Linked DNA regions of Neodiprion lecontei. The protein of the gene in region 1 purifies or fractionates together with the protein of each later gene. This does not show direct contact. Links are inferred from orthologs where the notes say so. Each region holds a gene or a part of one and is shown in the gene's direction. Other genes may lie near its edges.

Evidence for each region. Proteins that work in one complex are often made in the same cells at the same time.
Region 2: the proteins of constitutive coactivator of PPAR-gamma-like protein 1 homolog (region 1) and RNA-binding protein 45 purify together in Homo sapiens (co-immunoprecipitation; 3 studies listed by BioGRID and IntAct, with this or other methods). This does not show direct contact. The link is inferred for Neodiprion lecontei from reciprocal best matches to the Homo sapiens genes FAM120A and RBM45.

The regions. Positions count from the first base shown.
Region 1 is NC_060263.1:38,266,539-38,276,381, reverse strand, and holds the start of constitutive coactivator of PPAR-gamma-like protein 1 homolog, read left to right. Parts: upstream 1-5,217; 5' UTR 5,218-5,330; intron 5,331-6,654; 5' UTR 6,655-6,881; coding exon 6,882-7,092; intron 7,093-7,205; coding exon 7,206-7,378; intron 7,379-7,467; coding exon 7,468-7,581; intron 7,582-7,916; coding exon 7,917-8,063; intron 8,064-8,249; coding exon 8,250-8,616; intron 8,617-8,731; coding exon 8,732-8,986; intron 8,987-9,117; coding exon 9,118-9,498; intron 9,499-9,707; coding exon 9,708-9,743; intron 9,744-9,843. Other genes in the region: endoplasmin, read left to right, coding at 852-897, 1,052-1,135, 1,577-2,183, 2,381-4,019. UniProt on the Homo sapiens protein: Component of the oxidative stress-induced survival signaling. May regulate the activation of SRC family protein kinases. May act as a scaffolding protein enabling SRC family protein kinases to phosphorylate and activate PI3-kinase.
Region 2 is NC_060263.1:36,898,581-36,911,353, reverse strand, and holds RNA-binding protein 45, read left to right. Parts: upstream 1-3,809; 5' UTR 3,810-3,862; coding exon 3,863-4,061; intron 4,062-4,997; coding exon 4,998-5,112; intron 5,113-5,411; coding exon 5,412-6,208; intron 6,209-6,528; coding exon 6,529-6,782; intron 6,783-7,042; coding exon 7,043-7,156; 3' UTR 7,157-7,174; intron 7,175-7,307; exon of another isoform or gene 7,308-8,433; intron 8,434-8,811; 3' UTR 8,812-8,951; downstream 8,952-12,773. Other genes in the region: 6-phosphogluconate dehydrogenase, decarboxylating, read left to right, coding at 270-493, 1,068-1,312, 1,505-2,130, 2,273-2,615; receptor-type tyrosine-protein phosphatase epsilon-like, read right to left, coding at 9,559-9,633, 10,871-11,006, 11,250-11,404, 11,546-11,677, 11,821-12,032, 12,146-12,252, 12,323-12,519, 12,634-12,773. UniProt on the Homo sapiens protein: RNA-binding protein with binding specificity for poly(C). May play an important role in neural development.

The DNA.
Region 1 (9,843 bases):
TTAATATATCAAAGGTAATGTCGTACAACAGTTGCGATAATTTTTTATTCAATTTTATTTTGTTATAACTAACTCATTAGAATCTGTAAACAGTCTATTCTTGCAGTGAGATTCTCGTGACTGCAATTTTTCACCAGCTGTAACTCAAAAACTCGAGTTTCCAATCGGATTCCTTTGTTACATAGACGTTCGAGTGTTTTATTCATTTCCCTATTGTACTGTAGCAAAGACCGATTAAATTTTTTTTTTTAATACAAAAATGTAGAAACAATTATAAAACGTGATTCGCTAGATCATCTTTTTCCCACAAGTTCAAGTCCCGTGAGAATCTCTCTTCACTCGTCCCTCGACGCCAAGGACCTTCCGGTCGGTAATGTCTGCGGTCATATAATACTACTCGGTCAATCAATACTAGGTTGAAAAGGATCCTTTACTACCGACTTACCGAAGTCTGGTACCAGATCGTGCTGTTATCGACAGATGATGATTTCCATATTATACCTGGTAAAAAGTTTATCGTAACGTAACCAGAAGACTCTGTTGATAAGAAAATCCGGTCCGTTGATCTTGAATTTTCTAGAAGCAAAGTAGAAGTGTAGTCAGGGATGATCAACCAATGAAAACGAGACATATGGAGTCGCTAACACCGGTTGATCTTTGATTGGTCCACGTTGACTGCGTGGTCGAACGCCATTGGCCGAACCCGAAACTCGCATCTTGCTAAATTCCATTTCAACTCTGAGTCTGTGACAGTCGGCGAGAAGCAATTAAAGAGAACACAGCGTGCCAACGAGGCGTTTTGTATTTTGTGTGTTTTTTCACCGGTTTGTTCTGCTGCTTAGGAGGGAGCGATGAAAAAGTTTTTCCTCTGCGTTGTCGGGCTTCTTTTGGTCGCCGGTAAATTATTTCCTCGTTGTTCTGACTCGCATTAATTAAATCAATCGTGAACTATTCGTGGCTCATTTCTACTCTGATCATCTCGAAAAGCATCCATCATAATTCTCTTCCTACGTTCAACCAAATATTAACGATTATATATATTGCTTTTCAGGCTTCGCCCGGGCCGAGGATCCCGCTGATGATGTTGGAACCGTCGAAAATGACCTCGGATCAAGTCGGGAGGGATCGAGAACAGGTAATGCATTATTTCATTGTATTACTCTCATGTTACCTGATGTTTTTACTTCCATTTTCTTACTTGTATTCCGATCTTTTATATTATTTGTATACGCAGTTTCTGTACGGCATATCTTGTTATGTTGCGACAGATGGTGGCATGTTAAACCATATTTTGTCACAGCACTTATCAGTCTCTTCTCATTGTGAAAAGTAACCAACATTCTGTTTAACGATGTAATGCAGTATTTCATTTATTTTTTGTGTAAAGTCTATGTGAAAAACATCAAAATAAGGTGACGATTATAAGAAAAATAATGAAACTCCTCGAGTCAATAAACATATATGCAAAATTTATAATGAACTGAACACATTGATGGCACTGTTGTGAGAAGAAAATATTTTTCCAATTCTTACATTATCTTCCAAGTCTAACAAAGTATTGTTGTTTTTTTACCAGATGATGAAGTTGTGCAAAGAGAAGAGGAAGCGATTAAACTTGATACGTTAAATGTTGCACAACTTAAGGAGCTTCGAGACAAAGCGGAGAAGTTTACATTCCAAACTGAAGTAAATCGTATGATGAAACTGATCATCAATTCCCTTTACCGCAACAAAGAAATCTTCCTTAGAGAATTGATATCCAATGCATCTGATGCTTTGGACAAAATAAGATTGCTCTCATTGACAGACAAGAATGTATTAGAAACTAACAATGAATTGACCATAAGGATCAAGGCTGACAAAGAGAATAAGATACTTAGCATCACAGACACGGGCATCGGTATGACCAAGAGCGACCTGATCAACAATCTTGGAACTATCGCTAAGTCCGGGACTGCAGAGTTTTTGGGAAAACTACAGGACACTGCTAACGCACAAGACATGAACGATATGATCGGCCAATTTGGAGTTGGATTTTACTCCTCATTTTTAGTAGCTGACAGAGTCGTAGTTACATCTAAACACAACGACGATAAGCAATGGATCTGGGAATCTGACAGCACCAGCTATAGCATTGGTGAAGATCCACGAGGTGATACCCTCAAGCGAGGATCGACAATTAGGTAAGCATTTTCATTATAAATTGCAATGCAAACAGTTAAAATCACTGGTTATTAACAAAATTTGTTTTTTCTGCGTATTACCTATTTCTCTAACTTTACTTTATTTTTCAATGTTTCAAATACTATAGCTTGGAACAACCCTAATTTCTAGTTTTCAATGACAATTTTTTCTAATACTACTATCTTTTCAATTACAGCCTGCACTTGAAGGACGAAGCTGCAGACTTTTTGGAACCTGATACACTGAAGAACTTAGTGAAAAAATACTCTCAATTCATTAACTTCCCTATCTACCTGTGGGCCAGTAAGACTATGAAGGTTGAAGAACCCCTTGATGAGGATGAAATTACGAAAGACGAGGAGACTGAAAAAGATGATAAGACCGAATCTGAGGAGGATGATGCTAAGGTCGAGGAAGCATCCGAGGATGATAAGCCAAAAACTAAAACTGTTGAAAAAACTATCTGGGACTGGGAAATCCTGAACGATTCCAAACCTATCTGGACACGAAAACCAAACGAGGTTGAGGACAACGAATACAACGAATTTTACAAGGCACTTACAAAAGATACCAGCAATCCTTTGGCCAAAACCCACTTTGTTGCTGAGGGTGAAGTTACGTTTAAATCTCTGTTGTTCATTCCTAAGGTACAGCCTGGCGATAGCTTTAATAAGTATGGCACCAAGGGAGATAATATTAAACTGTTTGTCAGGCGTGTGTTTATTACGGACGAATTTAATGACATGATGCCAAATTATTTATCATTCATTCGAGGTATTGTAGACAGCGATGATCTGCCACTTAACGTCTCGCGTGAGACCCTGCAGCAGCACAAATTGATCAAAGTTATAAAGAAGAAACTGATCAGGAAAGTATTGGATATGATAAAGAAGATCCCCAAGGAAGACTACGACAAGTTCTGGAAAGAATACAGTACAAACATGAAACTGGGGGTCATTGAAGATGCCAGCAATCGTGCCAGACTATCCAAACTCCTCCACTTCCAGTCCTCCAACCAAAAAGGAACGACGTCTCTAGGAGATTATGTATCCCGAATGAAGGAGCAGCAACAGCACATATACTACATTGCTGGATCATCGCGTGGCGAAGTAGAGAAGTCTCCGTTTGTTGAGCGACTTCTAAAGAAGGGCTACGAGGTTTTGTACCTAACTGAAGCCGTTGACGAGTACGCCATTTCCTCACTTCCAGAGTTCGACGGTAAGAAGTTCCAGAACGTTGCCAAGGAGGGATTCACCCTTGACGAAGGAAACAAGGCCAAGGAGCGCCTTGAGGAGTACAAAACCACCTTTGAACCCCTCACCAAATGGCTGAACGACGAGGCACTCAAGGATCAGATCAGCAAGGCACAGGTTTCCGAACGTCTGACAGACTCGCCCTGTGCGTTGGTAGCGAGCATGTTTGGATGGACCGGAAACATGGAGAGATTAGCGATATCAAATGCTCATCAGAAGGCGGACGACCCACAAAAATCGTACTACTTGAATCAGAAGAAAACTTTGGAAATAAATCCAAGACATCCACTGATCCGCGAGCTGTTACGCAGAGTTGAGGAAGATCCAAGTGATCCAGCGGCAAAGGATATTGCTGTTATGATGTTCAGAACTGCGACTTTGCGATCCGGCTACATGTTAAAGGAGACTTCGGACTTCGCGTTGAGTGTTGAACAGCTAATGAGAAAGACTCTGGGAATTCCACTGTCCGAGACAGCGGAAGAAGAAGAAGATGGTGAGGAGGATTCCACTTTTGAGACTGAAAAGGCGTCAGAACTTGACGCTGATGAAGAAAAGGAGGACGAAGAGCACGACGAACTGTAAAGAAATTTCTTAGCTTTAAGATATTAAAAGGAAAGACTTTCAAATCTTCGAAGTAAGCTATACAATGTATAGCAGCTTCAAATAAATAACATAACGTTACAATTTTTACATGCAAAAGAGTCAAAAATTTTGCAGTAGGATTTAATTTGAACTTTTTTTTTTTTTTGCCCTTTGATTTGTTCATTTTTTATTCGTAAAAGATGTGTAGCTGGATTATTATTAGCAATAATCTAGGTCGACGGAGAAAATGTGAGACTTGATATTCCGTATAGTGACAAGCTGCATACGTGATACATAGCATCGCAATTGTTTATAGTTGCCTGTCATGCTCGATTATAACAGAATATCAAGGTAGGATCGTTATAACATATTCATTGGTAAATTTTTCATACCAGTTGTTGAAACGCAATGCATTTAATTTATTTTTGTTCTTCCATCACCATACTTCGTGTGTAGTAATCGCGCAAATATCAATTGCGTGTCGTATAGATCCTGTGTATGCTTGTGAGAATGTGTGAGTGTAATTTGTACAAAAAATAAATAAAAACATTATTCAATTTAACTCGTCCCCGGACTTTTATAACAGTGTATAATCACTTCATCATATCTACGTCGTTATATTGTTCTAACGTACACATATGCTTTTTGATGATAAATAAGAAAATTTATAGAATTTTCTATGTAAGAAAAATTACCTACTTGCGTATACCATGCGATCTGCATATATGATATTGATTTCTGTAGGTATGTAGACGTTATTTGATTCGCAAAATCTTAAATCAAGGCATTCGCGTCTGCCATTGTTCGTTCACGATAAAACTATAATATCCGTGTTGAATTTATAAATCGGAATATTATGTATTACGTTTTTGAGATGTGTTAATATTTCTCAAGGATTCAACGTCGATCCGTGCTGAAATTTGCGGGCATATTCATATGTTCATTTTATTATTATTGTTATTGTTATTAGAGCTGATTGAAATGAAAACTTGAATGCGAGACAGACACAAACGCAGCTGCTGCTAGGCGTGATGAACAATTGATTTGTTATTATTGTTGTAAGGAATAAAAGAATTCGTTATTCAACGCCGTGTTTGAAAACAAGACGCGTCTCAGGCATCCGTCGGACATTTTGAATTTCCGTTAAATCGGACGAATCGCGACGAACTTTTCCACTGGAACAAAGTGTAACGGGACAAGTTGGCTGAGCGTGCCCGAGTACATTTCCGTTTTCGAACCCGACGTCAACCATAGTCAAAGTCCGTGTGTTTTGTGTTTCTTTGGAGCCACAATGATTTTCGCTAATTTAACGTAAGTATGTTACAAATAACTGCGATAATCGAGGCCCTAAGTCGCTCAGCTAAACGAAAACCAAATAGCAGCCCACATGTTGAACTAGACGAGCTTGTTCTTTGAGAGATTCTGCTACCTAAAATGCCGTTTTCACCATGCCGGCGAGGAAATTCCTAGCTAATGTTGACCGTTTTTAACGTTGATATACTACTTCGAATAATGGGACTTGTTTCGAGCTCGGCTCGCCTCTTTTAAACGGTAAAATAATTCATGACATGTTATACTTTGTGTCGATGAAAACAGCATTGCTGTACACGTAAACAAAATAAATGGCGTCTCTAGTCACGCTTCTTCGGACACAATGCAGAATGGAAAATTTACTATTCTCGACTGTTCTGCAAATGTCCGAACGTAATGCACATCTTTTTTCGCATTATTTTATACTTCTAAACGGAACGTCCCGATTCATATGCCGACAAGCTTGACGGATCTTGGCTCATTCACTCCTATATTGGGTAATCAAATTAAAACCTCTATTTCACGGAACTTCGGCAATAAACCACGTCATGCTCTACCAGGAGCCGTCAAGAGACTGACAATAATAAAGCAATCAGAGTTTATGCGAACCATTTCATGTTCGATGTTCCCACGCGTTTTTCAGCGTATTAGATTTTCATGAAATTCGGCCGAAGTCAAAGTGACTAAAATTTATTAGATGAAGATTTATCTCTCAACTATTATTATTATGCTTTTTTCTGGGAGGAATAAAACCACACCAATTGTTCTAAACCTCTGTGCTAGCCGTTGATCACAAGTAAAAATTAAACTTGTCCTGATTGCATGATTATGTTCATTTTACTCCCGTTCTGATCTCAATTTTTTCCATGTAATAATTAGATCACTTTCAACGAAATATTATAATTTAGAGATACTTTTAATTCTTACAACTATTTTCGATTCAATTGTCAACTCATAGATGCCAGGTGTAAAGTTACTGAGCGAATAATTGGATCTAAAATAGGTACTCGTAGTTTTAAATAATGAGATGCAACGTTGTCTGATATATTACTGTTAATGAAATATAGCTAATAGTTTGTAGCATTTTGAAGGACGGTTGATGTCCGATTAAGTTACACGAGAGATTTGATTATGCAGAAGCTTCAGATATTTAGGATCAAGTTGCTGCCTGATACTAAAGTGCATGAGATTTAATATGCCGGCAAGAATAATCAAAGCTTTGAGCGTAAAACAAATATTCTCAAAGCATAATTTTGACTAAAATATCAGTCACAAATCTAAAAATGAAGTACATATAAGTGACATTTTGATTTTTTCTTTTCAGCTTTCGACTGTTGAAATTGGAGTTGGACTTTTCTACCTATTAAAGGAAAACATTGAAAATCTAAGAATATATAATCTAGAGAAAAGTAAAAGAAATTAATGAATTGTTGGCTCTGAAAAATAAAATATCAAGATAAAAAAAAATAGTAACATTTCATTAAACAGTGTAAAGTAAAGTTGAATAAAAACAAATACTCTCTTTGTAAAGAGGAATAAAAACCTGTTGCAATGGGTATACAAGATTTACAAGCATTTTTGGACAGCAATGCCATTCAAGGTGGCTCGGTACCTGTAGACTTACTGAGAATCGCTCGTAACGTCGCTCAGAGACAACGCAATCGTTCTGGAAAGGGACAACAACAGTCACCATCGTCCAAACTCAGATTAGTTCTTGATGGAGAATGTTGTCTGGACAGATTGTACGGCGGCTATTTCTCAGGTAAAATCACTCCCCAAACTCATTTGATTGAACTGGAACGAATTCTTAAAAAAAAAAAAAACTTGATAGTCGTCAGTCGGTAAAGTAAAGTGACCTCTGCACTCACATTTTAGACTGGGCTTGCGGTGGTCAATGGAACCGGATGGTACAATTCCTAGCAGTGTTGACACAAGCTACAGAAATGTCTGGAGTAGAGTTGGCTGTGTTTTTCAATGGATCCTTGGAGTCTCCTCGACGCCTTGATTGGATTCAGCAGCAATTGAAAGTTCGAATAAAAGTTAACAATGTAAGTGTCTTACCCAATTTATTTTATGAAATAGAATCACATTAACATACATGCATATAAATTGGATGTAAATTCAATCTCTGTTATAGGTTTTGAAACACATCACAACCAAAGGAACGCCTCCTCCAAAAATTTGGTGGACACCACCAGTCTGTCTACGGACCAGCCTTCGCATGGCACTCCGGCACTTGAATGTTGCAGTGGTAAGAGCTTATTTTTAATACATCTTGTGCAAAATATAACTCACTTTTCAAATACAGAAAATGATAAGTTTGGTCGAAAAGCGTCAAATCATGAGCTATTTTTAGTATTCCAAGATGTGTTAAACCCACAAAATATATATCAGGATGTCTTTTCTTATCACGACGTTTTTAAAGACGTCTGAACGACCGGAGGACAGCTGATGCGAGAAGTTGTAAAATATTTTTGTAAATTTTATTGCAAGGGTTGATATGATTAGTATTTCTAACAGAGGACGCTTATTGATAACTGTCGTCTAATTGAGGGAATCCATTTCTTTTTTCTCTTAACTGAACAGTTGTGCAGCATGGATGATCATCACCAAGAAGTTATCGCCTATTGCCGTGAAAATTATTTCAACGGATTGATAGCCGATGATGCCGAATATGCCGCATTTGATCCACCGAGGTATTTTTCGTCGGAACAATTGAAATTAACCTACAAGGTATTCAATACTCATTTTAACTAATTCGGTGTTCATAATTTAAGAATGATTTTTATAGAATTGGTTGATATTTTTGATCGCAAATAACTATTGGTAGCTGCTGGTTGATTTTTAAAGCAAACTGCAAATTTTGTATCGAATTATTATACCTCACATGTACTACGAAGGTTGTTTTTGTCATTATAGGGTTCCTTGGAAACAAAAGAATACATCATCTCTGAATTCACAAAGTCGCTCAATCTGCCATCAGAGAGACTTTGCACCTTGACTGCATTGCTCGGCAATTATTTACTTACGGAACAAGATTTAGCAGACTTTTACAAAAAACTAAACTTGAACACTAACCCAAATAAAGTAACAGCTGAACAACTAGTCAGAACAGTGGCTAATTTTGTAAAAGATTTGCATTCTGTTGAATTGGATGTTGTAGCACAAAATGTTTTCGGCTCTCTATCTGACCCAAGATGTGTTAAACTCAGACAGTCTGTACAGTACTACATTAACGGAACCAAAGAAGGATTTTTACATTATAAGCCAGTGAAACCAGCTAAAGGTAATTGACGAAGATTTTCTGTAACAAAATGTTGCCAGAAGTTCTATGACATGTTTCATTCACTTATCTCATTACCAAAACAATGTAGTTCCTACATTTTTAATATTCTGTACAGCTCGCAAGTCCGAATCTAAGCAAAATATACCAGTTCAGAAAAATATAGCAGAGGTTCCATCAACAACCTCTGAAGACGATGCTAATTTAGAAACATCACGTTTCGCATCAGAGACTTTAGAGAGTGAACGTGACAGCTTGCAAGCGTACAAACAAGCAACAGCGAATGCCCAAGCTGCTCCGCAAATCGTAATTGAACCACCAGGAATTCAGGGACATGGAGATGCTGATAATAACCGAACCGAAGAAGAACAGAGTAAGTCTAAACTAGCAGTTATGTGAATTAAATTTTCAATTAGACGCCAAACATCGTGGAGTTGATAAATAGAAAATATTTCATTACGCGTTCTGATCTAATTTGATTACTACATTTTTCCTTTTTGACAGACAATGGCCATGCCATAAATGGTACTCATAATCTACTGATCAGTTCTTCGAGCTCGAGTAGTAGTTCAACAGCTACATCTCCCTCGCATATTACGATAGATTCCACTAAACAGTCTGAATCAACAACAAGCATTCCCAGCACTGTTCCGGAAGTTATGCGTACAGCTTCAGAACGACATCAGAAAGGACTGATGTCTCCGCATATATACCAAATTTTGATCGCCGGAGAACTAAAATTGCCAGTTCTGTTAGAGGATGAAAGTCACAAGGAATTCCCATCCATCCACTTGATCTACAGACCTGTGAGGCAAATGGTTTACGCCATTTTGTTCAATGTGCACCACCGCATATACCTCGCCACAAAGAACAAGGAGAAAGGCGGTAAGTCAATTTTCGCAAAAAAATTTAATCTATGATAACAATCTGAACTTGAGGAACATTTGTAGGGCTAGTAATTGCTAACAGTACCTCGTCACTGAAAAAAGTAATGTGTAAAATCTAACGAGTTGTAGCATACTTTCAGTAACTTCTTACAGGAAGATTTATGTCACATTCACGATATTCATTATATCCATAAAAATTTTGATTAGAGGCCGCAGGAAAGAATAGAAGACCAGGCAAGAAAAGTAATCACCATTTATTCCTCTACCGCATGGCAATTAGATTATTTATTATTGAGTTTTATTAGGTTTGGACAAGCAATGTGTCATTAGACTATCAACTTCA
Region 2 (12,773 bases), about 1.4 Mb from region 1:
AGCACTGTAATATCCGGGCTACCTCAAGGGCAGTCAATGACGAATGCAGTAATTTATCTGCCATGCAATGTTACTACTACTCACAATTAGAAATTTTCGTAGAACACAAAAATTGTTTATCACCATTTATTGAATAAATTTTACACTATCTTTTGATTGAATTTGTTTTGAAAGTTCTAATTTTCTTACATATCTTGTTGAATGCCGAATGAACCACAAATGTACAGTTTTTGTTCATGCTCAATCTTGTCATTCTCATCTTTTTACAGTGTCGCTGATATTGCCCTTATCGGTCTTGCCGTTATGGGACAAAACCTGATCCTGAACATGAACGACCATGGGTTTGTCGTTTGCGCTTACAATCGTACGACAGATAAGGTGAAATCGTTCTTAGAAAATGAAGCCAAAGGCACCAAAGTAGTGGGTGCCTTTAGCTTGGAGGAAATGGTTTCCAAGCTAAAATTGCCACGTCGTATTATGTTGTTAGTCAAAGGTTCGTATCCTTTTATAACAGATCTTAGTATCATGATGGAAAAATTATGAACATATAACCAGCTCTAATAAAGGCAGTAATCGTAGTTCTGAAAACATTAGTGCTGATGACATTCAAGCCTAAAAATCACTTGAATTCTAAGGATATCGCTAAAACGTTGTTTTTTGTCTACATATATGCACATGACGTCACAAAGTCACATTTACAATTCGTATCGAGCTTAAATTATGATAATGCTAATGTACTTAGTAATCTCAATGGCTAGAATGTTTTCAGTTACATCATGATTGTTATGTAAGATTGCTTGAAACTCTCAAAAAATACCCATCGAGGTGAAACTTATACACCTTGAATTCGAATCATATGTGCGAAATTCTTCCGTCAGCAAGCAGAAAGCATCATTATTGTAACAATAAAGCACTAACCGGCTTTTAATATCACTAAATCTCGGTACCAATCAAACTCTATGAAATATTAAATTGTGCGAAAAAATGTCTGCTGTAACTTCAAAGCCTTCAGCACATAACAGTTAATACAGCTAATACAACATATAACACTTGTATTCTATTTCCAGCTGGTCCAGCTGTCGATGGGTTTATAGATAAACTGGTACCACTTTTGTCATTGGGAGACATCATTATTGACGGTGGTAATTCTGAATACCAAGATACTCAAAGGCGTACGGAGGAACTGGAGAAGAAGGGGATCCTCTTCGTTGGCAGTGGCGTTAGTGGAGGAGAGGATGGGGCCAGGTATGGGCCATCCCTCATGCCAGGTGGCAATCCCAAAGCATGGCCTCATATCAAGCCTATTTTCCAGGTAATTGCCAATCAAGGGCTAGGCGAATAGATATTGCTTTATTTATAGTTGGAAATTGCCTCAAAAAAATTTGTGTGTCTAGCGTCTTGACTCTTTGTCATAAAATTATTGCTGTCACTACTCAGAGAATCATGAATATAAACTACATTCGGGACAGTAATTCGAAATGTTAATACACTACGAATATTTCAGTCGATCTGCGCCAAGAGTAACGGTGAGCCATGTTGCGATTGGGTCGGAGAGACAGGGGCTGGACACTTTGTGAAAATGGTTCACAACGGTATAGAGTACGGAGACATGCAACTGATCTGCGAAGCTTATCACATCATGAGAAACGGGCTTGGTCTGAACCCACAGGAAATGAGTGACGTTTTTGGCGAGTGGAACAAGGGGGTGCTTGATTCTTTCCTAATTGAAATTACCCGAGATATCTTGAAGTACAAGGATGGGAAGGGCTATCTTCTCGAAAGAATCAGAGACACAGCTGGGCAGAAGGGTACAGGAAAGTGGACGGCTATCGCTGCCTTGGATTACGGGATTCCTGTCACGCTAATTGGAGAATCAGTGTTTGCAAGGTGTCTCTCCTCGCTCCAAGGTGAGAGGATTGAAGCTAGCACCGTTTTGGAGGGTCCAAACGCTGTTTACCAAGGAGATAAAAAGCAATTCCTCGAACATCTTCGGAAAGCGCTGTATGCTTCGAAAATCATTTCGTATGCTCAAGGATTCATGCTGCTAAGAGAAGCTGCTAAAATTCACAACTGGAATTTGAATTATGGTGGAATTGCGCTCATGTGGAGAGGTGGATGTATCATCAGAAGGTGAGAGAATTCTTTAATTGATTGCCACCCTCTCTGTAGATGCCACGAATTGGCCCGATCCAATTTGAAAGAAAAATCATCATCCTAAATGAAGGTAAACGTACGAAAATGGTTATCAATGTATTATGGATTATGATTACAGCGCCTTTTTGGGAAACATCAAGCAAGCCTTCGACAAGAATCCAAAGCTGACCAATCTGTTGCTTGATGATTTCTTCGCGAAAGCAATGAAGGAGTGCCAGGCGAGTGCTAGAGTGACGGTGGCAACAGCTGTAACTCTTGGAATACCGACTCCTGCTCTGTCGACTGCCTTAGCATTTTACGATGGGTTTAGAACAGCGCGTCTTCCTGCAAACTTACTGCAGGCTCAGCGTGATTACTTTGGAGCCCACACTTATGAGCTACTTGGCGCGGAAGGAAAATTTGTTCATACTAACTGGACAGGCCACGGAGGCAATGTATCTGCGTCTACCTATGACGCGTAAATAACGAGTTATGAACAGCGCTGGTAGTTGTTCATACCAAAAGAGAAAGGGCTCTCCGTCATGCAAGACAATTACCGGTTAGCTTTTATTCTCCCTGTCATTTTACGGATGCGGGTTTGTCACCAGTTACGATTGCTGAAATGAGGTGGTTTTATTTTTCTGCAATCGTTTTAGGATACAAATTTCTATCTTTTTTTTTTCGTCGTAAATCAAATCAAGTGCACTTTGTATGAAATTTGGATTGTAACGGCTACATTTAGGGCACTTGGAGTAATAAATAATCGGCATAGGAAATATTTATACGGTATCGTTTATTACTCTTAAGACTGTTGCAACATTCCGAATACATTACGAATACATATTATAGTTGTTTCATAAGTTTGTACATTTTGCGATAGTCATTTAAATTATAATATTGTAACAAAATAGATCAATGTATGAAACATTTGTTTGCAATATAATTTTAGTACGAAAATCAGTTAAAGTCAATCAGATCAGCGTATGGAAGCGGAAAAAGTGAAAATTTTAATCGAAACGTTGTTCAACTGAATAAAACTGTTTTATTCTTACTACTTCTACGCCCTGCAACATTTTTGCGTGTCCAGCCTATAAGCCCCGTTGCGCGCATACAGATGACACAATCATTTCGCCGAATAACGGTATAAGTCTAAATCCCGAAATTTTGTAATGAGAAAAGCAACAAGTTGATAAGTTCGCTGAAAGAATAATTAACCTAGGTGTAATAAGGCTAATTTCAGCTGAAGAATCGAATCTCATTAAGTATCTACGCAAGAGAAGTAATTAAATTTTACCATCTATTGTATATTCTATCGCTTTCATTACAGTACATATAATAAATTATTCCATATCTGCGCATATTTCTGACCGGTACCAAAATTACACGACCTGTAATCGATGGCACATAACGCGCACAACACTGTCACGAGCAAACCGGGTACCCGGCAGCTTTAACTGATTGTAAGTGATAACAATCTCCGGTTTACCGTTGTAAAAACTGTCGGCAGTTTGATGCGTGAATGGTATTGAAGGGATGAAATACGGAGCCGAAGTCGTAGACTCAGCGATGGTACATCACGTTTCATGTAACACATGTGTCACATAAATTGTACCGTTACGTGTTGCCTTTGATGTGTCGGCCCTGAAGTCGTTGAATTTTAGTTCTCGTTGGCAGCGTGGAAGGCAGGCAACAGCAGCCGCAGCCAGTATATTCACATTTCACTAGTAAAATGGCTGATCACAGAGACCGCGAGGCGTATTATTCTCAGTCGGATCCGCGTTCGAAGAACGACGACCCACCGAATTCAAGATTGTTTGTAATCTGTCATAAAAGTTTGGAGGAAGATGACCTCAGGAAGGCGTTCGAAAAGTTTGGAAAAATTGAAGATATTTGGGTTGTTAAGGATCGAAACACTGGGGAAAACAAGGGTAATTGGATAAATCAATAACTTTCACTAGCGTCTCATTTTCGGTTATTTACATATCATGTCATTTCACCAATTGCATATTTTCACCTCTCAGTATTTTCATCCCAACTGTTCTGCGTTTTGAATGCAATCGGAAACTTCTGTTCGAATGCCGCCGGCGTTTACCGATAACTATAGTACCTAGTGTGGCTAGCCTCTAAACTTTTCGACCAGTTTTAGAACTTCCGCTAATTAATACTTACACAACGTGATTTCGGCACCAAACCTCCAAATTATGCATCCTATTTGCACATATGGCTCAGATCACGTGATATTATATCGTATCTTACTAGTTTTAGTTTATCCAAATTATCCAATACTGAACCTTTATGCATTGTATCATCTTTTTATGAGAAGCTTTTCACTGCATACGAATTTTTATCTCGCACAACCCTACTGTGCCCTGGAGATTTTATTGATAACGTAATTTTATTGTTACAAAGCAACTGATCCCCTCAAACAATGTCTTACGAAATTTAAACGTCTTCAAAACATCACCTGTAATTAATCAGATGCATATAATTTAAATGTAGAGATTGCATACAATGGTGTCATCCATACATGAGTTTTCAATGTCGACTCTACTTTCTTAGAAATTGACCTTTTATCAGATGAGCATAATTATCTTCAATACTGTACTCCACCCACAAATTTAACAACTAAGTTTACCGATTTTCTCTCTTGGAAGTTGATCTATTTATGAGTCTTGCTTATATTTGATAGACGTAATATCTTTGAATTAACATAGACTGGAAATCCAAAGATGAGAGAGAAAACAAATGAATCAATCAACTAAAAATTGTTTAAAAATCCGTTTGATCGACCTTAAAATAAATTTAAGGTATCAAGATGTTTTCTTTGCAATAATTTCATATTCTTATTGTGTTACTTTGTGCAGGGGTCACATATATTAAGTTTTCGAAGACATCGGAAGCTGCTTTTGCATTGGAAGAAATGAATGGAAAAATGTTGGGAAGCGTTGGTCGACCAATTAAAGTTATGATCGCATCTAAGTGAGTATAATAAAGCTATGCTACTTGAAAGTGATGTTAACTAACATGAAAATTTTAGATGAATTTTCATCAACATTACGTGCAAAAGTTAAATATTGAACATTTGTAAGAATGCTGTAAGTTGAATCTGTACGAAGTGAATTTTAACATGTGAAAATTTTATTGTACTCTGAAAATACTGTTGTACAAGTCATCGTGAACTGTACGAGATGAATAATGGGACAAATATTTCCTATCCAGCTGTAATAATATTTTGAATAAGATGAAGTGAAATAAAGTTTTGCATAATGTATTTTCAGCCGAGACCAAGGATCTGTCAGAGAAACAAACGAGGAGGAGAGGTGGGTACGTTTGTTTTGTGTGCTACCAAAGTCAATGACTGATGGAGAACTGCAGCAGGAATTTTCTAAATTTGGTCCTATTGATTACGTAACGGTAGTCAAGGACAGGATTACAAATGAATCGAAAGGTTTCGGCTATGTCAAATTCAGAAAGGTATCAAGTGCAGCTAAGGCATTCGAAGAGTGTGACAGAAAGTACAAAGCTGTCTTTGCTGAGCCAAAGAAGCCCAAACCGGATCATAGCGATTTAAAATATAACAATGGTATCTCTGCAAATTATGATAGCCATGGAGGAGGATACGGCACCAGTAATTTTGGCAAAAGTAGCATCAGCCTGGAGATTGCAACTAATTATCCGAATGCAGAAGGTTATACTCGATTACAGGTCATAGCACATCCGGCCTTGAATCAAGACCAGCTTTGGAGACTTTTTGACATTGTTCCTGGCTTAGATTACTGTCATTTGAAAATGGACATGAGATATCGAATGCCGCGAGGGCAAGCGACGGTGGTTTACTCAAATTCCAGTGCTGCTGCTTACGCTAGGGAAAAGTTTCACGGTTTCGAATATCCTCCCGGTCACAGAATGATTGTAAAACCTGATGTGACTGGTGGAAGTCCTCAGAGAAGTACAGCTAAACCTGGCACCTCCAATTCATCTGGTATAGCTGGCACAAGAACAGATTTAGCTCACTTGGCTGAAACTATTGCCCAAGCTACATCATTGATTCAAGCTGCTGGTCTTACGGCACCAAGTAAGTATGAATCCCAGAATATCAAACTAATTTCACATTCAAAATACTTGATATCAGAAACTAACGGTAACTTTGTAAAATTGCTCCTTTTTCATTAACATTTATATGATTATTATTGGTTCAAATTATGAAAATTAGTGTCTAGCAAAAAATACGCCACATTTTGAATGGGCCTAAGTTTCATTGAGAATGAGTATGTGATGTGAGATCAAAGTCGACAGTCTGTAGACGTTTTACTTTACATTTTCTATATTAAGATTAGTTTAAGTTGCCAAGTGTCAAAGCATTGTTTTTAATACGAATTTTATCGCACGAAACAGGTGTTGGTCCGTTGGTTACAGGTTTGGAACATACAGTGAATATAAAACTTCCACCCGTTGAGCCAATGGCTAGTATTGATGCAGAAATTGCTAAGAGATGTTTTATTGTGTGTGGACCACCTGTGCCTCCAATTTATGCTATGAAAGATGCTTTTTGTAGATTTGGGAACTTGATAGATGTGTATATGCTTCCTGGAAAAAATTGCGGATACGCAAAATATGCGTCTGCCGAAAGCGCGGACAAAGCTATTAAGGTCAGTTCATTAATTTTCTAATTACGATAACGGTATTCTAATATTGTGTGTTGATAATTCCGAGACTTGTGGTTAAATCATTTTTCGAGCACCAATGATGTCGACCTGTATGCGTAAATTTTTCTGTACCAATTCGTTATGCCCTTAAGTGCTTTGCATTTGCTCTACAGTGTTACCTTTCTTTTCGTTGTAGAGAAATCTACCGCTTAATTTTTCGAACGGGAAATTTTCTACGAAGGTAGTTTAATGTTTAATTGTAGACACTGCACGGACAAGAGATCTGTGGATCACGTTTGAAGGTGTTGGAAGCTGAGGAGAGGAACGTGGGCGACGATCGTCGAAAGCGTCTCCGAATGGACGAGGATGAAAATTGAGGATGTTCTACACAACACGTAAGTAACAAATTGCACCGAGACCGAAGCAACGCACGTTTGCGAATTTCTTTTTGTACCCTCGTAAATGTTGTCGGACGTTGTTATATCTTGGCAGCGAAAAAAAATGTAATGTTTCTATTTGTCTCCACAGACTGACTGGTATACACAAGCTGGACGCACGCCACAAATGAGACGAATTTTAAGACACACTGACCACGTCGGGCCTGCAGCCAAGGAAACTACTTCAACCTACTTTTATACAATCGCTTACGTTGGAAAACTCAAACGTTACTGAAAACTAACTTTACTCTACTTATCCATACTTATTACTACACTTTGCTCAGTTTATTCGATACCATAGCTCCGAGTAGGCCTGTGCAAGCAGTGATGTATATTTATTTACACACACACACACATATATATATATTTTTGTTTTATAGAATAGATCAAAGTTGATTTCACTGAATTGACATAGACAAACGGCATAATATTAATTTATAGTGACACCAGAAGGGGGGGGGGGGGGCAGTACATGAGTGTGTATGTGCAAGTGTATGTGTGTGTTTTTATTCATCGTTGTATTTAATATTTTACATCTACTTAACAGAAACAATCTGCAAAAGATTTGAAAAAAATTTCAATCTTACAATCTTTTCTTTTCATCCAAATCCGTCTCTCAATATGTTATGTATACCTGTGTACTCTTATTCAGGACCAATTTTATCCGTTTAATATTAACGTTGAAAATCGTCTTACTTTACTACAAATTATTACGAAGTACGGTATGTACATTGGCCAAACGTTGATGCAATACTTGATACTCACACAGTGCATCGTATATTGAAATTGGCCCAGCAATCAAGTTAATCGCGCCAGCGAGAATTTTCCTTTTTTCAAATTTCAAGAGTTGAAGGGGTATTATATTGGTTATAAAATGCATCGCGGTAAATGTTTTATATTTAATTATGACGTGTTATTTCATTGGAATTTGACCAATACTACGTATGTACATGGTTGATAACAAGGATTTTCATGCTGAAATCAGAAATGTTAACTGACGGGCAGAAATACGATTAATAAGCGTGTCGTACAGAGTATTTCATATTTAATTATTTTTAATATACAAAATACTGATTGAAAATTGAATTCTTATTACAAATTTATAAAATTCATTATACATAGTCGTATACCTAACTAGAGTATTAAAAAAAAAAAAAAAATAAAATACACCAAAGCAATTGCCAATCGGATGGCAGACAGGCCACAATAAACCGTTTGTCAGATTGAATAGTAATGTGATTTCAGGAAATGACTTTGCGCATTTTTACTCTTAATTGCATTAGATGCAATTAACTCGAGACTAATGAAATGCTTGCCGTACATTGATAACATTGAAAATCTAGTTAAGCTTGTAATCGCAACGTTGAGCGCGGTTGAATTTTCTATTTACGATCATATGCTACATACGATAGATACATTTTACAAATTACATGACTGTAACTGACTTGTTCATAAGATATCAAATACAGATTCTCTATAAAAACTTTCCCAATGACCTTACTCACTTATTTATGCAGAAAATTGATTTCCCACTGACGTGACTGTTGATCAAATGTCCCTTAATAAATGTTCATAAATATGTTTTTTATTTGCAGGAAATCCAAGCTAAACCTGTACCTGAAGACTGTGATAAATTTGAAAAATCAATGTATATACATTTTTTTTTAGTACGAGTATACGTATTATTGAAATGAAAATGACCTTTTATGAAAATAAAGTATATATTTATACGTGATATATCGCGTTCTGAATGTCTTTACAACCCAGAGATACTTGTATCATAATCTCCCTCGTTAAAATATTACCTGTTACCTTGAACTACTCGTCGAATAATTTTTGAATTTCAGATTCATCATACACTGAAAAAAATCAGTTATATCAACTAAATCGTCGATAACCGGCGGCCGAATAAATATTTAAATACTGCAATTAAACATTAGTTGTCACTTATACGTCGACTAGTGTTGAGTTGTAGCGATTAATTTTCTATTCGGCTGTCTATGTTCGTCCATTTCATTAATTCAACTGATTTTTTTCTTCGTGAAAAAAGAAAATTTTTATGTGGTTTTGATATCTCTCAGCGACAGCAAAAATATGTCGTGATTAAGCATATGGTACCGTATGAACTTGCATTATTCTGAAACGGTCAGTCATTATAAATGCTGGAACAAAATTAAGTATATTCGGTCTTTTTTTCGGTTGAGTATTCGATACGCCACAGTCTAATATGTTTCATCTAAAATTTTGTTGTTGAAATAATTGTGATGTATAATGATGTATGTTTATTGATGTAGTATTTACTGACAGTATTATTATACTGTAGCTGATTGTAACTTGACAAATCAATCAAAGTTAGCGTACGTCTCGAAGGACTTGATGTACTCCGCTGCGGCGTTGTACAAGTATTCGAATTGTTCCTGTGATAAAATAAAATATGCTTTGCGTCATTAGGCTGGCATTAGTGATTTTTACTTTTCATCACCTTTGGTGATATCAGAAAAGTACTGATTTCGGTCGAAAATCGCTTTTTCTGATCTTCACGAGTCTTTACGTTTTTGAAATTCTAATATCCGAAAAACAGGTTTTTAGAAAAATGTCGTCTGGATGTCGTTCTGTCCGTCTGACCGACAAGCTCCTGCGATGATCTCGAAAGCGGTTTGACGAAAAAATTTGAAACTTACAGGATTTAACAATCAAGTGATGGGCATCAAGAATTGCCATGTCCCGTTTAATTTGAATTTCCGGTTCTTCCGGAAATTAATCGATTTTCAATATTTTACCGATAAATCTATAGGGCATTCCATACGAAACCGACCAATCCGTGGCCCCGACCATTTTTGATTTCGTTGAAAATCTATTTTTTTTATACCTACTGAAAGCAGTCTTTCGAATTTTTTAAAGATTTTTGTCTGAACCCGTTCAATCAGAATAAATTTTTCAAAATTTTGCACTATTTTTTTTAAATAGGTACTCGTAGCTTTTTCAAAAACAGATAGAACAAAATGCTAGGTCTTTTTATTCATTTTGGGATGTACTTCATGAAGAAAATATGAAAAAACATCGAAATTCATTTTCAGTTTTTCAGTTTTAAACCCAAAATGTTTTTTTCAAATCATGTATTATTTTAATTTTTTTTGTAAAATACACCACTCTTCAAGAGACATTTTTACAAGTATTGAAAAATTCGTAGCTTGTGATAATCATAACTTGTATTTTTTTCTATTTTTTATCGCGTGTGAACTAAGAAATCGTGTTTCCTCTTTGAATTAATAACGCAAGTAGAGTGATTTGACTCGAGTTATTATTTTCGATTTTTCATTCAAAAATTTTTCAGTTAGCTGCCAAGTTCTATCGGTTTCAGATTTTTCACTCGGCCGTTTTCGAGGTCACCGAAGAAATTTGTCGGACAGACCAACAGAGTTTCCTTTTCATGGTGATGAAAAGTATCGTGAAAAAACTGTTTTTCCGGTTTGTTGTTATTGTACCACTGAATCGGCGAAATACTAGTCAGGCGAATTTACTGCATTGACCGATTTCCTCCGAGTACGAGTTTCGGCGACAGCATTGAAACAAATCGGCAAACCAATTTGTTTTCTTGGGGGGGTAATTTTGACGAGAATTTTTGTATACGGGTCCATTGTGAATTGACTTTACCTGAGACTGCACAAAACACGGTCTTGCCCGACGAACAGCTCGAACGGCTAAAATGATGTCACATTCTCGTTCGACGGCCATTCTTTCCAAGACAAAACTCAAAGCCAAGTAGAGACCGCAGCCGGTGACGCCATCGCTGAAAATAACGACAATTCCGGTGCAGAAAAAGGCGAGACTACTTAAGGAAATAAGTAGCTATTCTTGCCATTTTTTATCAGCATACCGGCTTCCGGTGAAACAGAAAATGTCTGTATTAACTCTGACAATTACGTAAATATTTGTCACGCAGGATATGAACGGAAAAACCGCGCTACAAGATATCCAATAGATAAGAGGGTACATTTAATTCTTACAAATAAATGAATCAGTTGTCACTTACTGACAAAGAACCAGCGTTGGCCCTTGTTCTCGATGAATATCCTCCGATATTATCCAGAAGCTAACCAGATCTTTTGGCGGTGGCGGTTTTCCACCACGTCCTAAACCCCATTCCGTGCATGTCAACACTGTAACTTGACGAAACTCTGACGAACCCTTTGTGAAACAGAAAATGCAGATAATGTTCAGTGAAATTTTTTCAACCGAGTTTACTAACAATAGTCCTCTACCGAAAGGCGTATCGACAAATGTCCGATTACTTCGAATAATATCCTTTATAAAAGTTGTAAAACACACCCCTGACTTGTCGGTGAGTAGAACCTCGTTGATATGAAAAGATTTCGTTGGGTCTGAGCTTGTTTTCACTGCCACATTTAAGGAGGGTACAGGATTGAACGAATCTTTGTTCATCATGACGTCACAGCATGTCTGCAAAAATAGATTAGTGGGAAATTAAACGTCCACGGCTACACGTATTTTGATAAAAATAAATGCAACGTTGATCCATGGATCCTTGATTAGGTACACGCGAGGCTTGTCCGTGGTTCGGAATTTTTTGGTCTAATACTCACGGGATCGTCGGGGTCAGGTTTTTGCAAAATGATAACCAGCTCCACCTTCTGCTCAGCAATTAGTCTCCAGAGGTTTGAAATCGTCGAAGCCATGGGTAATTGGGAGGCGAGGAATTGCTTCTTGAATTTAAATCCATCGACCGTGACCGCGCTGATGTAATCATCGTAGTTGTGCGCTCGATTACGTGATAGGTAGACCAGATTGGAACAGTCTGTACTCGAAATGAAAATATACGTACGTTAAATCGTTGATACATCGTACACGTAACGGTATATAGTTTAGAAATTATTGACATGGCCCAAGTTGTTGTACTTGTTGTCTGACCTGGTGCAAGTTCCGGGTATCTGTTTTTCACAAGGTGTTCTGGAAGTGGTGGCAAGGATCTCATCCACGGACACAGCGTCTGATCTTGCCAAACGGTGTTACGAAGCCTAAAATGCGATATAAACATAAAAAGGCGCGTGTTCGGATAACGGTTACTTTTGTAATTGGGACGCGAACCTTTCTATGTGCTGCGGTAATTTTTCCTTTATGCTCTCTATAGCCAGGGGCAAATCATTGTTGCATGGTATCTCCGTAGGTTGTGCGGCCAAGTATTCGGCCATGACAATGTGAGCAAACACGTATTGCATTTCAGTGTCTACCATGTTGGAGCGACAGTCACGAAGTTTTTTAAATTGCGCAAGTACGTCGACGATCTGGAAAAATAAATTCCGTTGTAATTGTCGGCGTTACAGTTCATTATTCTTAAAGCCCGTGAAAGCTCTTCAGTATAAATGCTAACCTACAACCAATGACATATAAGTACTGACCCCAGTTTGAGCGGCCTGTCGCAGGCAGATGTCGCACAGTATAAGTGTACCTGTTCGTCCGACACCTGCACTGCAGTGAACAATTATGGGTCCTCTTCCGACGGGCGTTCTGAGCAACTTCTTCAAGTATGCAATCACGG